Linked DNA regions of Lepisosteus oculatus. The protein of the gene in region 2 interacts with the protein of the main gene of each other region in a pairwise test. Links are inferred from orthologs where the notes say so. Each region holds a gene or a part of one and is shown on either strand. Other genes may lie near its edges.

Evidence for each region. The genes of interacting proteins can lie anywhere in the genome.
Region 1: the proteins of npat (region 2) and hinfp interact in a two-hybrid assay, tested with the Homo sapiens proteins (2 studies listed by BioGRID). The link is inferred for Lepisosteus oculatus from reciprocal best matches to the Homo sapiens genes NPAT and HINFP.

What each region holds. Positions count from the first base shown.
Region 1 is NC_090718.1:11,533,466-11,540,663, forward strand, and holds the start of hinfp (histone H4 transcription factor), read right to left. Parts: upstream 3,017-7,198; 5' UTR 2,959-3,016; intron 2,941-2,958; exon of another isoform or gene 2,649-2,940; intron 1,933-2,648; 5' UTR 1,921-1,932; coding exon 1,764-1,920; intron 1,191-1,763; coding exon 964-1,190; intron 300-963; coding exon 185-299; intron 43-184; coding exon 1-42. Other genes in the region: dpagt1 (UDP-N-acetylglucosamine--dolichyl-phosphate N-acetylglucosaminephosphotransferase), read right to left, coding at 6,159-6,224, 6,941-7,096. UniProt on the Homo sapiens protein: Transcriptional repressor that binds to the consensus sequence 5'-CGGACGTT-3' and to the RB1 promoter. Transcriptional activator that promotes histone H4 gene transcription at the G1/S phase transition in conjunction with NPAT.
Region 2 is NC_090700.1:683,942-691,259, forward strand, and holds the start of npat (protein NPAT), read right to left. Parts: upstream 3,005-7,318; 5' UTR 2,860-3,004; coding exon 2,823-2,859; intron 2,226-2,822; coding exon 2,107-2,225; intron 1,803-2,106; coding exon 1,742-1,802; intron 1,654-1,741; coding exon 1,575-1,653; intron 971-1,574; coding exon 930-970; intron 308-929; coding exon 47-307; intron 1-46. Other genes in the region: serine-protein kinase ATM, read left to right, coding at 4,531-4,602, 4,917-5,038, 5,759-5,904, 6,022-6,186, 6,373-6,538, 6,618-6,856. UniProt on the Homo sapiens protein: Required for progression through the G1 and S phases of the cell cycle and for S phase entry. Activates transcription of the histone H2A, histone H2B, histone H3 and histone H4 genes in conjunction with MIZF.

The DNA.
Region 1 (7,198 bases), on a different chromosome or scaffold from region 2:
GCTCTCGCAGTTTGAACCGGCCCTTGAAGGTCGCCTCGCACTCTGGGAGGACAGACAGACCACCATCAGGCGCGCAGGCCGGGGCCCAGTGGAGACGCCCCCACCTCCGCAAGCAAAGAGAGAAAAGCAGAGAGACTGAGCGCCAGCGAACGCACAGGAAAGCCTCAGGGAATCTCACCCTCACCTTTCCACCCACAGCGCAGCACAGGCTCCTCCTTGCTGGTGGACTTGAGCTCCATACACAGGCCGTGCATTTCCACATGGCGGTAGAACCATTCCGGGTTCTCAAAGGAGGCCTGCTAGAGAAAAGTAAAAACAGTTCGTATGATTCACGCTGTGGGCAGCCTCACTTAACTCTGTACGGCAGGGTCTCAAAATCTGCGAGGGTTCAGTGCAGAGAACATTAGCTAACAGCCACGTTCACATATAAAAGTTACCAAGTCCACTCCTATACTGCCACATTATGTACTACAAGATATAGTTTGTAAGATTAAAAGACATAAGGTACCCTTCCATATACAGTACTGGCTTTAAGTTAAAGTAGCTCGGATGAACTAAAGCAAACAACAGTAATCACAAAATTATAGTAATCCACTAACATAAGCAACATGAATCCCTCCTCTGCATTCAGTGGATGCCTGCGCTTTCTCTCTCGGCCCGTGTCAAGAAAAGGGCAATAAAACTATCAGTGAGCTTGTCATCTCCAGCCTGTCATTCCCCGCGCTGCATACAAGACCTCGTCGGCCAGACCGAATCGTGAGCTAGCGAATTTGCAAATGTTAAATTTGCAGGTGCCGAGACCCTACCATACGATCCCTCTTCTCTCATGCTGCAGGCCAAGTCCCACCATCCCACAATCTGCTAGGCTGCACACACTGTACTCCTCCCCCCTCCCACAGCCCCTTAGTCCCTGCTCCCCCAATCCCTCGGGACAGAGGGATACATCCCACCTCCCCTCCTCACCTCACAGTGCTCCCACTGGCACAGGAATTTATCCAGGATCTCGGGGACGATGTTGCGGTTCTGCAGGTCCAGGGTGCAAGTGCCCAGGTCGGGCTGGCTCTTCAGGATGCTCTGGCCCCACTGCTTCAGCTTGGTGTGGTAGCAGTGGAAATAGATGTGCCTCACCAGCTCCGTGGGGTTTTCCAGCGAGCAGAACCCACAGTCCCGCCACAGACAGCTGCGCTCCTCTGGAACAGGAACACCAGCAAACACGCCCCGCGTGGGACTGTGAAACTCTCTACCGAGCATTGAAACCCCAGCTCCACTGGAACTGTTTTCCTTTCACCTGCACACTCCGGCGAGAGATCAGCCTTATTTTAGTGAATTCTATATCCAGCTCTCATCAATTTAGATTTCATAAAACATTCACTATTTTAACTCTGCATTACAAGCCTTTTATTCAGACATCAAGTGCGCAACAGACAAAACTGTAAAAATACAGTTAACCGGTTAAACGCAAATGTTAAAACCTATGGAAGCTTTTTAGCACCACAAGAGAAAAATATACTAGTTTAAACGCAAAATTGTTTCTCATTTTAAAGCAATGTTATCTCATTTAAATGCATTTTTTCCCCCCGTGGCACCAACAAGCTTCTGTAAAAAATCTTCTTCAAATCTAGATGCTGCTGTGAGATTTACAATCTTCTCCACTGATGGCAGAGTTGTCCCACATCTCTCCGAATTACAATGCCTTTACAGATCACCCAGTAAAAGAAGCACCTGGTATGAGACACTCCCCCTTCCCAATCCCAAAATCTCACCCAGCATCTCGCTCTCCTCGGCCTCCAGCTGCAGAGATTCCAGATGTTCCCCCACATGCTGACAGAATTCCTCCATCCTGGTGAAAGTGGCCTGGCACGGTCCCCACTCACAGCCCAACTGCACCTCTTCCCTCCTCGCACGCTTTCCAGGAGCCATCACATCTGGGCCCTGGGAAGAGCAGAACCACCAGCCCATCAGAACCGAGCTCTGCCGGCAGAGGGTCGCACGCAGCTCTTAATCGTGGTGCCCATATACGTTCACTAAAACATTAGAAACTTTCCACGACGATGTCAGATTAAGTTAATTGCACATTACTTTGCAGTTTTAAGTTGTTTATATGCTATACTTCAGCACTTTAAACATTAGTCGTCCGGATTAAGCGCATATATTTTTTAAAATATATATATATACAGTATTTCTTTTCCAATAGACGAAAAGAACAAGTCTTTTAATAACTTCCAACAAACCCTCACTTAAAATAGATATCGACGGGAAAGTATATTTCCCTGCTGTATTCATTTGTATTGGAAAGTCACACAATTCACGAGTTTTTGGGATTAGGGGTGAAAATGATTAAAATCCCACATTACACGGTTGGTTCCACACCAGAGACCGCCTGATTTTGTCAAATGCAGCACGATTTCTTAATAAGGAAGTGACGAGCCGTACTGTATTGATGTTTTACGGAAAAATAAACAATAATATTTCTACATTCTACATACTATTTTAGGCATGCTTTCCTAAAATTTCGATGCTTAATGCAAATGCATCCAAACCCTGATATACGCGATTCTAAACTACTGTACAACATCGCATTATGGGCAGATTTATCAAATATTGTTAGCTGCAGAAAACCTGATTTGAAAAACCGGTTCTTTCCTTACGGCATGAATGACTCATTTCAACACGGCGATATGCACGTTTGCATTCAACAATCGAGAAACCCCTCTCTTAATGCTAATAAACATTATTTTATACAACAGAAGGAAGTTTAACTTTTAAATCGTGTCAGACCCTCGCCAGAGTTATAAGTAACTCAATATTATCGTGAGGGCATTTAGGTACAACGGAAAGCACTTTTGACCACTATGCAATCTCTAAGAAAAACGTTTACGTGATATAAAATCACATAATTGAAAAGGGAAAGCCAAACTAAATATCAGATGCTAAAAAAACAACATTTCCAGTTCCTACCTCCACCTCACTTCAAGTGTCCACCCCCTTCTCCCGCACAATTCAACATTGACCGACTCCCACTTTCAGCTGTAACCAATCGTGTTTGAAAGCTTATCGTAACTGGCAAACGCCCTGTCCAATGGGAAGGTGCATTTAACTGCTGCTGTAGCTAATTGGATAAACCGGATACATGCTCAGGACCAATAGAAGTCTTAGGAAGGAAAACAGTACGTCTGCTAGATTTTCCCCCCGAGAAACTAGGGTCAATGAATGTGATTGAATGAGGTTCCCAACAGCTTTATTATTATTATTATTATTATTATTATTATTTGAATTAACATCATTAGTTGAAGAACATATTCAAGAAAATGGGGGTTGTACTGTGTGTGTTGTCCCACACATGAAGTCATGAATTGGGCGAGAAATATCGGGATTGATGAAATCTTTTCACGAAAAAACTAATACGCGCTAGCAAGTGGTTAACTTGTGCAATGCACTGCCTTTCCAAGCGTACCGAGCACGGGTTTCAGGAGAATCTTTCAAATGGAAACCCTCACGGGCAACATATGCCTGCTTATTAGTCTGCCAAGAGAAACTGGAAAGTGCATCAACAGTGAAAAGCAATAGAATGACAACTAACTTGGTCATTTAAAACGTTACAATATGGACAAGTGTTAAAAAAATCTTCAAACTGATAAGATAATTGTATTGACAAAATTGAAAATATGCACTGATGTTACTTAAATGGTTTCAGATATGTTGAAAAGCCAGTTTCACACTGTACTATATTCTGCTCCTTTGCCTGGGTTCTACCAGGTTTCACGGGTTATCTTAGTGAGTAAAACCTACAAACGGTGCTAATACAGATCATCTCTTAGTTTCAGCTGATTTGAAGAAGGCCATTAAGATTCCAGGGTGGAATGAAAAGCAGAAGACATGTTTCCCCTCCAGGACAAGGAGTGCATTTCAGCACTGTAGGGGTCTGGTTTTTAGTGTGCCTGAACTACATGCAGTACAGTTAATGCTCCATGTGACCACTTTATTCTAGGTTGGTGATCTGTTGGTAGTCAGGGAAATGCATATATTACTCAGGAAGACTTTTTAACTGCAAAAGTGATATTCTGGCATTTGAGAAGTGGCTGGATACGATTTTCAGATTACTTCACTGCAAACAATCAGGTCTGCACAGTGGATCTTTTGCTTGTAAGCTTTCCTGCGATACAGCTGCCAGAGCCAACCAGTTCATAATGCCTGTGAAGTCTGGCTTTCTGGAATGGTTTACACCTTGGGACCTTAAACTATTTAGGAGGTGGGAGGTGCCGAAAGCCTGCAGTTCCCTTATCCTGTAAAACCTGGAGGCTCCTGGATTGCCAGTTAGATAATTGTTCTGCTGCTTGTACTTGTAATGATCTAATGAAACAAACTGGATCAATAGAACACTTTTCACAGGTCTGCAGCTGTTGATAACTGCTTGATTCAGGTCCTTGATGATGATGATGACGATGATAATAATTGCTTACACTTATATCTGTTTCTTACTTACAGTCATTCAATGGGGTCAAATGGACTGCATATTCATATTCAGTGTTGTTTGCGACTCAGGACGGCGCAATGCTCAGTAAGATGTTGGAGACTCATGATTGTAAATGTTTAGACAGAAGCCTGTATTCCAAGGATGTCCAACACCTGGTCCTGGATGGTCACTATGCTTAGGTTTTCTGGATCTCTTTAAAGAAGCAGCACCTACAGTATAAAGCTGAAAGAAGCTGTTAAATTGGGCGGCCTTACTAAGAAACTAGCTGATTGAGCACTTTAAGACCTGAGCTGGAGTGAACACCAGCAGATCCTGAACCTCCGGGATCAGGATAGAACAGACCTGCAACAGTCACTGGGCTGGTGAAGCTGCAGTCAATTCTACACGTAGAAGTGGCCCAGATCCTCAAGGGTTAACTGGAAGGGATACTTACAGTAGCACAGAAACCATACATCATGGGGGCGAAGCATTTCATTAATTTCTTCATGAGCTAAATATTCAAGGTGGAAAAGGTCAAAAACACAAACCACTTTAAGGTGATTTGATGATGCCTTCGTTATTTCTAACATCTGTAATGTTTTTTGTTTACATACCACAGCGTTGTCGATTTGTGGCAGAGCAGGAGAAGGCCAGTGCAGCTATAGGTTTTAATTCCAGCATCTCTCACCTATGTACAGCCCCTGATTATTGACTTAACTGGACTAATGCCAAGGCGTCTCCCAGTCCAACAGGTCACGCCTAAGTGTGTTAGAGAGCCAGCGGCCACACAGACCCTCCAGGAGCTGCACTGGTCTAACAGAAGAGATGAATGCCCCAGGTCTGACCGCTTTTCTGTATATCTTAAAAAGATACAAACTGGAATCCAGTTGTAAAAACTTTAAGATCTGGGCTGGCAATGCATCGACATTAGCAAAGGACACAGAAGATGAAGACAACATACTCAAAGCATATAAATAAGGTGATGAATGTGCAGAGCACATTAGAAAAATACTTTAATCCAAAATTAGTATGATACATTTTCTAAACTCATAATTTTATGGCATGTCGAGTTTGAAAATCTGTGTATACATGCTGGATGGTTCCCATAACTAACATTTTCTGTTTTTATCCCTAGTTGTGGCCACCCATCTGGATACGAGATGGAAAAGGGCTGTTAGTAGGCCACGCCGTCATGTTTTCACCCAGGCGTGTGACTGACTCAGTCTCTTATTCCTGGACTGCTGGGGGCTCATCTTGGACGACAGCAGTCAACAGAGACAGACCTGGGACGAAGATGGCACAGACCCAAGTGTAGGGTGGGGGGTCTAGATTAAGCCAGACAAAAACAAAACCCTTCAGGACTCACTTTTATTCCAGCGGTTTGATAGGCAGGTTTCTGACTTCCTTCTTTAAGCTGCAGGCGCCAAAGTCCAAATCATCTCATGACATCTAAGTTCAGCTATGAGCAAATTGACTTGCGAGGACAGAGAGCAGCTAAGAACATTGCAACGACGTCAGAAACGTACACCACACTAACACCCGATCAGGAACAAAGATACAAGGAGTAAATAAAAAATCAAACAAACATAAACAACATTCAGGATTTTCACAGTAGTAGACAGTTACGTTTTTCAAACAAAAAAAAAAAGACAAATGTGGATTTTTCTCTTCCCAACCCTTTCCCAGGGGTCCCTCTGTGTGGCGTCTAGACGTCGTAGAAGAGGCGCACCAGGTGGTAGCGGATCCCGAAGGCCACGGCGCTCCCCAACACCTGCATGGGTCAGAGGTCATCCAGAGGTCAGGGGTCAGAATGACCAATTGGGGGAATCACGCTTCCTCATTAAGACTGGGCTAACACACTTTAGAGGCGAATATGGGGGCAATTAGTATTTAAACCGGGGTGATGAACTCGGATCGTTAGGGGCTGCAGGTTTTAATTGGAATCTCTTAATCAGCAACTGGTTAAAGCTGGGAGCAACAGTTATTGTGAAAAATTAAGCACTCAAATCAAGTTATATATATGTGGATTCTAATTTAAACAGTGAGGAGGCCTAAAAACAGGTGTTACAGATGATAAGATTTAGCTGTTTTACTTTTAACTTCACCGTTAGGTAGCCCTGGGAAAAACATACCATCTGAGGCAGCTGCTTACTTATTTAAATCCACAGTTTTTTCCTATCATCACCTTAATGCCACCTCTGGCGTGCTGGCTCAAGCACTGTATTAATTATAAAGCTTGCAGGCTTCCGTCAGAGAACCCCTAATGACATAAATGCCCAGAGTTTGAAAGGGATTGTAATCAGGCTACCCAAAATGTCCGTAAATGTGTATACTGTAGAAAAAAAAATATGGGGTTAATATTAAGGAGTGAGGAAGATGCATTTAACTTACAAGTAGGAAGACAGCTGAATGAAAGGAAGGTTAAATAGGACACAATCAGAGAGAGGAACCTTGAATGAGTGACACTGTCCCCAGCCCCTAGGTCACCTGTATGAGCAGCATGATGACAGTGAGCGTCCTCTCATGCAGGGGGCCCAGCACCTTGATCACCAGGTTGATGAGAGTCATGTTGTTACACTCAATGAACTCGTCCTCCCCATCCCCACCTCTTTGCACCTCCACCAGCCACACCACCTCCGCTCCCTGCAGGACAGAAAAGGGAAACTGCTGGAGACTAGGAAACAAGGTACACGCTACAGAAGGTCTGGAGAACTGCTAGGCCTTGGGGGGCCCTCGTGAAACGAT
Region 2 (7,318 bases):
AACCTTTAACTACATGTTCACCACGACCCCTCGGTGTTCCACTTACTGCTCACGTTGAGCACAGCCCTGCTTCGCTCCTGGACCTGAGACTGGCTGACGCACAGGGGGGAGGGTCTCGCGTGCAGGGAGCTGTAGCAGATGGGAGTGGAGCACCCCAGCATGGCCTGAGGCACGCACACGGGGCTGGGGCTGGGGCTGTGCTGGCCGGGAGAGGGAGTCACAGACAGCAGCCCGGAGCTGCCCGGAGCCGGCGGGGAGGGCTGAGCTCTCTGATGCCGCACGTTCAGGATCCCATTCCGGGTGCGAACTGCAACATGGGCACACGGGCACACAGCAGGGGTGAGAGCTCCGATGAGCACACGGACACGCACGCAAAGAGAGAAGCGGTGCCAGACACCCGAGAACAAAGATCTGAAAGTACAGGCTGATACTGTAAATGTGCCAAAAGGCAGAGGGGAATAAAAATTCAAAGTCAAGAATGTTTGAGATTAAAAAATCATCAAATCTTTTTTTTTTTTAATATTGAAAGAGCCAGAAGCAATGAATAGTTACAATGCCAACAGACTGTGCAGGATCTGATTCATTATGAAACGATGGTCAATTTTAGCTAAGAAAACAATACAATATGCTTTTCTTTTCAATATGGGAACATCTGCGAATGCAAGACAGAACTTTCCAGAATGTCTGAGACCGACATGGAAGGAGACATTTATAAGAGGGTTATCATAAACATGCAGAGGAAAAAATCAGTTATCTTTTTTCTAAACCTTCAATTTCCCCTTTTCTCCTACAAGTCTGAGAAATCCATTTGACAGACTCATTATGGTATGAAAGACCTGTGGTTTCCTAAAATCTAAAATGCAGTGAAAAGATACCGGACAGAAAAAATAAACTGTATTTAAATAATAAAAATGAAAAGGCCAGCTTACATCTTTGGTTGTTGTAAATGCTTGGAGAGTTCTGCATACACCTAGTGAGAGCAATAGACATCATTAAGCCATCCTGAAAAACAGTTTTGCTCAAAAACATCTTTATTCATTTTACATTTCACTATTCTCATGCCAAGATAATATCTGACAGTCCTGCAAAATTTGGAATGTGTCAAATTATAATATTTCATTTCTTTAGAAATGGGATACTTATGACAGACTCCCCGGTTCCTAGTTTTAAATGTAGTTTCAACCTACGTCCTCTGGTTAATGCGTCACTCTGTTCAGAAGAATTCCACTGGGATGGGTTTGTCAATGCCTCTTTCTGTTGAAGCCTACAAAGCTTCAGTTCTAGTCTGTCTGTGTAGGGTGTACGCTGGTCCAGCAATGTATATGGTTACTCTACCCTGGACTGGTTCCTGAGCCATAGTAGTTTTTTCGTAACACAGGTGACACAAGAAATTGTTTGCATGATGTCAGGAGCTCATGACAGTTTATCTACAAGATTTTCTTCCATTCTGCAGCTCTGGTAAAAACACCGCTGCTGCGACAGTCTCCGGGAGCAAGTTCTTATGGTTGCATATCCTGAAACAAGAGGCTCCATTTACCCCCACCCCCAGAAATCCAGTTAAAGTTTCCTTTTACCTGATCTGATTCAGAGTGAAATCTAATTTCCTCCAGAGCGACGTCATCATAGCAGGTACCTGTGACTCCTGGCTGCATTCTTGACAAAAAAAAACAGTTGTATATTAACAAAACATGAACATATGAAGCTCTGAGTCTGAAGTTATTTTAAAACCTCCAGTACTTGCCTTTTGCTTTAATGGCAACGTATTCATTCAGAATGGTGTTCAGGTTTTTCCCAAACAAAGACTGCAAAGACAAAACAACATGATAAAACAGAACGTAGGGAAACATAGGATAAATCTGAGCACACTGCTCAGATTAGAGATGTCTAACACACTGTGTATGCTGTTTTCATGAAAACAAATCTAGCACATGAAACGCAAGCTATTTCATTCAGACAGCTAATGAGAGCTTTAGGTACGGTGAGACTTTCGCAGAGAATAAAGAGTGAAATTTTGCATGTGCATGCCATAAGATGCCGAATTTCCACAAGTCTTTCCATTACAGCGTACAGGGGCGAGGGGCTCTGCTGAGATCGGACAGCACTCACAAACACGCAGGCAGGAATCGCTCCGTCCTCGGTGCTGTGCTCCGCGTACTCCTTCAGGTCCGGACTCTCGCTGATGAACGCCCGGCAAGTGGCAGTCAGGCGCTCCTGTTGGAGATACCCTTGGCGCACCCCAGAACAAACAAGCACTCGGTTTACTTCATTTACTGGAATTTCAAAGCAATATCAACTCACCAGGGCATGCATCCAAAAATACACATCCTTTGTCAATAAGCGAATTATGCACAATTGTTCGGACATGACTGATTTCTGATAACGTCCTTGCAACTGAAATCTTGGCAAGGTCATAAACGCCACTGGAATACTATCAAAATCTGACATCTGATGTACTGGACATTTTTCCCCAGTATTAATAATTTCGTCACAGTCGTTATGGAATTTGACATTAACACGTACCTGGTGTGTAATTTAGTATTTTAGGTGGTAGTACTCCGACCACCGTTGTTTCAGACAGCTTACACCCAGTGGTATCGATATCATGCATCAAATATTATATGCAGTGCTTTCTGTTATCTACACAGTGAAAGACACGCTCTTTAGCTAACCATGCTCTTGTCCCCCAGATACAGGCTCTGGTACAGTACGTGTTGCAGGGGCCCTTTGTGATCAACACAGCTCTCAGCTGCGACCGCAGAGCAAACTCCCCGGCTACACGCCTGTGTCCCGCAACAGACCCCGCTGCGACCCCTCCAACTTACCCAAAACCAGCCTCGCAATGTCAGATGGTAGCAACATGGCTGTTGTGAAGCCTTTTCAACTGGCCCTCATACGCACAGTCATGAAAGAAAACCGAACAGCACACATTTGAGCCGTTATACTTTTTCTCAGCTCAGCTGAACACAACTCCCAATAACACCCACCCGCAGAAAAAGCGCGGAAATTCAGCACGTTTCACCCGGAAGTATTCGCCTAAAAGGCTGCATGGGAAATGTAGTTCGGGTGTTCGGTCAGTCAATGTCAGTACGCGAGACAGGGTTACATGGCGGATAATGTATTAACATATAGTAGCGCTCTTGGGTTCAGAATATTATATAAAACGTTAATTGTGCGTAACAATGGAAACTGGCATAAAATAAATCAGAGGTCCAAACAGATATTCTGTCAGTGGAAATGTTTTTATCAAAAATGTTATTGCAACAATAATATATACAATACAGACAAGAGTTTATATACATAACATCGTCAGGGGTACATAACACAGCTGCATTTTACAAAATAATTAAATGAGATAAATCAAGGTACGCACAGATTGTATATTCTTACGCTTATAGCAAAACGTCTGGAGACATGCTGTGTTTTGAACTGTTCAAATGGGGGTCTCTTCCCAGACCGTTTAATTTTATGTAAGTGTCATGATTAAATTTATGACAAATGATATGATATTCTGTATTTTTTTCAACGGGATTAAAAATACAGTGGCAGTGCGTTTAAAGCTCCAGTCTGCAGCTCCTGCACCAGAGACCCCCTGCCTCGCTGGGACTGGGGAGGCGGAGCTATCTCAGGAACTGGGGCCGTGATTGGCTAGCGGAACCGCCCGTCTTCGCAACGACCCGGAAATGAAGTTGAAGTTGGGGAGGCGCGGTTTGTGTTTGTATTGCTGTGCGTGCTGTGCTGTCTTTATAGTGGACAGTACTTGGGATTTAGTTTAAGTGAACGTCAGAACACGGCCCTGTCGTGAAATAAAGAAAGCTATATAAGGAGGTATGTGAATAGGTACCCAGTTCCCAGCGATTTTTAGATGCGGAGAATCATTTAGTAGTTTAAGATGATTTGACGTCAATTTTAATCAGACTGCATAGCTAGCTTACTTTACTTTAAAGTCTGGATCTTGATCGTATGTTTTTGGTAATACCGTGCAGATCTAAACAAGTGTGTGTAGCTCGCTTGTGATTGTTGAACGTGTACACCTAGCACGGTCATCGCCGATCTATTCTGAAGGCAGACGGGGACTCCTGGACTTGAAGCACCTGAAGCAGTGCTACTCCTGCTGTAATACTGCGTTCTCCGTCCGGCTGGTGTGGAAGGTCATCAGACGGCAATGTGGTCCTCTCATCGCCCGTGTGCGCTGTAGATCTTAGCAGGATCTCAGGGACTGCTCCTTACAGCTCAGTGGGATGGGGGGTTGGGCACTTTAAAAAACGAAACCAAAAACGTTTAAACTGCATTAATGTGAAACCCTTATTAATGGAATGATTTATGTATAGAATCGTTTGTGTTTGTGATCAGAAGGCATACTTTGAAGGGGTGTAATGAATCAAAACAGGCCTGTGTCTGCAACCCGCCCCCCACACACGCTTCTCCAGTTCGATTCTGTGCTCCTGCACTGTCAGTGCGGCGTCAGTACTCGACATCGATTCCCCTGTCTGCCTCTGCAGGCCCCCAGTGCAGCGCCACCCTGAGGACAACATGAGCCTGTTGCTGCATGAGCTCCTGATGTGCTGCCGTGGGCTGGAGAGCGACAAGGCCACGGAGAGGAAGGTAGATGCGTTCACCTCTGTGCAGGACAGGGGCGTGAGTCGCTCAGGAGTGACCAGATCACTTCAGTGCTGATGTTCAAAGGTTCAAAGGTTAATGAGGAAGCTGAAAAAGTCTGAGAATGTAATAAGCTTTCTTTCATTCATACATTTGTTTTTAAGTGAGTAACTTTTGGCATTCCTATGAAGCATTTTCCCTGACATAATGAGTGTTTTGACAATAGTGTGGATTTGATGTATTAAACAGCTGTAGATTAAACAATCAGTTGCCACTAGCAGAATGTTCTTAGGAGTCCACCTGTCAATGTTATTTTGCAGAAAGAAGCGGATAAATTTAAGCGGCTCATCGTGTCTCCTGAGACAGTTGAGGCCCTGGACAGAGCCAGTTCTTCAAGAGCAGCGAAGGGTTCCAAACAGCTCACCTGGGATGCTGTCTTTGGGTAGGTGCTCTTAAAATGAGCCCGAATGAATGACCGTGTGTGATGAGTTCATGCCGGTCTGCTCCAGGTCGCATTAGTCACTGAGGATGTTTCCTGTGTGTTAGTTGTGAAGCCTTGTTGTGGATTTTCTGTCACACAGCCTAACTGTGCTGTGCACCCACCCTTTCGCCGATTTGGTTTATACACACACGCAGCCCAGCAGTGCTCCTGTCTGGAACAGTGCTCACAGGGAGTCCTGGAGGTGCTCTGTTTGTAGCTGAGGGGGAATGCCTTGTAAAATGGCGAAGATGCACGTAAAGCCTCTTGCACAAGCCGCAGCTCTCACTGGCTCGTGTAGAAGCCCCAGTGCGCTGTGCTCCTGTGTTCTTGCACTGTACTGCCAGGGCAGCTGCAGGGTCTTACCTGCTCTGTAGCAGAGCAGCACAAGCAGGATGGCGCCTCTGCTGGCCTTGCAGGAGACAATGGTAAACCCACGAGTGACGGCCAGTGTGTAGTATTCTGAACTTGTCAGAAAACAAAAGCCCAGCTCCCCCGTTTTTACCACCAGGCTCTCAGTCGTGTGAGCGGGTCGCGATTTCAGCGGTCTGGCCGAGCGTAGTGACATCTGCAGCGAAAGGGGTGTTTAAGAAGCCCCTGCTGGACGTGCGGTTTAGAAATTGGATGCTTTAATTAACTGCGGCCCAGGCGAATCTGACAAAGCAGCGGCTCTCGTCCCTGAAGGGTTCTGCGCCGGTACGTGGAGAGAGAAACGGAGGCGCTGCAGACTGGGAAGGCCAATGTGTCCGCCACCACACAAGCAAACAGGCACAAAAAAATGCAGGAAGTCAGCAGCTTGCTCAAATTTTTCATCAGATGTGCAAACAAAAGTAAGTGACCATGTTTTAAGTCAACACAGATCTTTGGCAGCTCATTGACCGCTTGCTTAATCTCCTGCCTCCTTTCCCTGCCCGTTGTTCACACATTGGAGCGATTGCCTTTCGCAGGAGGCCCCCGCCTGAAGTGCACGGACCTCCTGGCTCACCTGGTGGGCGTCCTCAGGAGCTCCTTCTCCTGCAGTGCCTATGGAGAGGACTACAGCAGCATCCTGCTGAAGGACATCCTGTCTGTCCGCAAGTACTGGTGTGAGGTCACACAGCATCAGTGGGCTGGTAGGTGCCTTAACCAGCACCTGAGCTCCACTCCATTAAGTGTGTGAGCCCAGACTAATATATTCCCCATTCCGACTTCAGCTCAGCAGTCAGGGTGGAATTAGAGTCTGTACTTGGAAAGATTAACAATGAAATAGAACTGCTGTGCCGTGTTGAAGTGCTGATTCCCTGTGTTCTCCTGTCCAGAGCTGCTGGAGGTGTATTGCGGTTTCTACAACAGCAGCTCCAGTGCCATCAACCGCGTGCTGGTGAGCAGGATCATCCACACCCTGGTGAGGGGCTGCTGCCTGCAGACAGAGGGGCTGGTGCACAAGCTCTTCAAGTTCTTCTCCCGAGCGCTGCTGAACGCCAGGTACCGCACCTCGCTGCTCCGAGGAGAGCCCTGCCCTGCGGTCCGTGACGTCTGAGCGTGTGTTCTGTGCCTCGTGCAGGAGGGAGAAGTACCTGGCTGTCCTGGAGCACCTGCTGGCTGCTCTGAACATCTTCCTGAGGGCCTCGGCCGTGAACTGCCGCACACGGGTCTGCGGGCTGGGGGAGGAGCTCCTGCCCTCTGTCCTGTGCGTCTGGGCCCAGCGGCGGCCGCAGGACCTGCTGAAGGAGGAGATCGTGAGGTTCTTCCACCTGCAGCTACGCGTCCACCATCCGAAGGGAGCCAAGACGCAGGCCACAGGTGAGACCAGGCCGTGGCCCACCAGTCCAAGCAGATTTCCAGTTACCTTCTGCTTTGTTTCTGCACATTTAGTTTTACTCTTAAACTTTAAGGTAAGCTACTCTTAGCTTCATGTCCTGGTATATTTAGAGGGCTTTCATGAAATTTGAACCTTTAAAGGCCAGGCTGGAATACTCTGACTGTGAAGACGCCAGGAGCTCAGGTGCTGCAGAGTCCCGGAGAGACTCGTGTGCCCTGAGTGGGATCTCCAATAAGCTGTTCCAATAAGAGGCCACGCTGGGTATGATGTGAAAGAGGGTGTGTGTACAGTATTGGCCTGTCTCTTTGATGAGCCTGCAATGGATTTGATATTTATTTTAGCTTCAGCCGCAGTTTCACAATGTATTGGCATCAGGATCTTTGTCACAGCCAAAGCAGTGGACTGCGAGCTTTCAGGTGCTGTGAACAGCTGAGCGAGTGGGA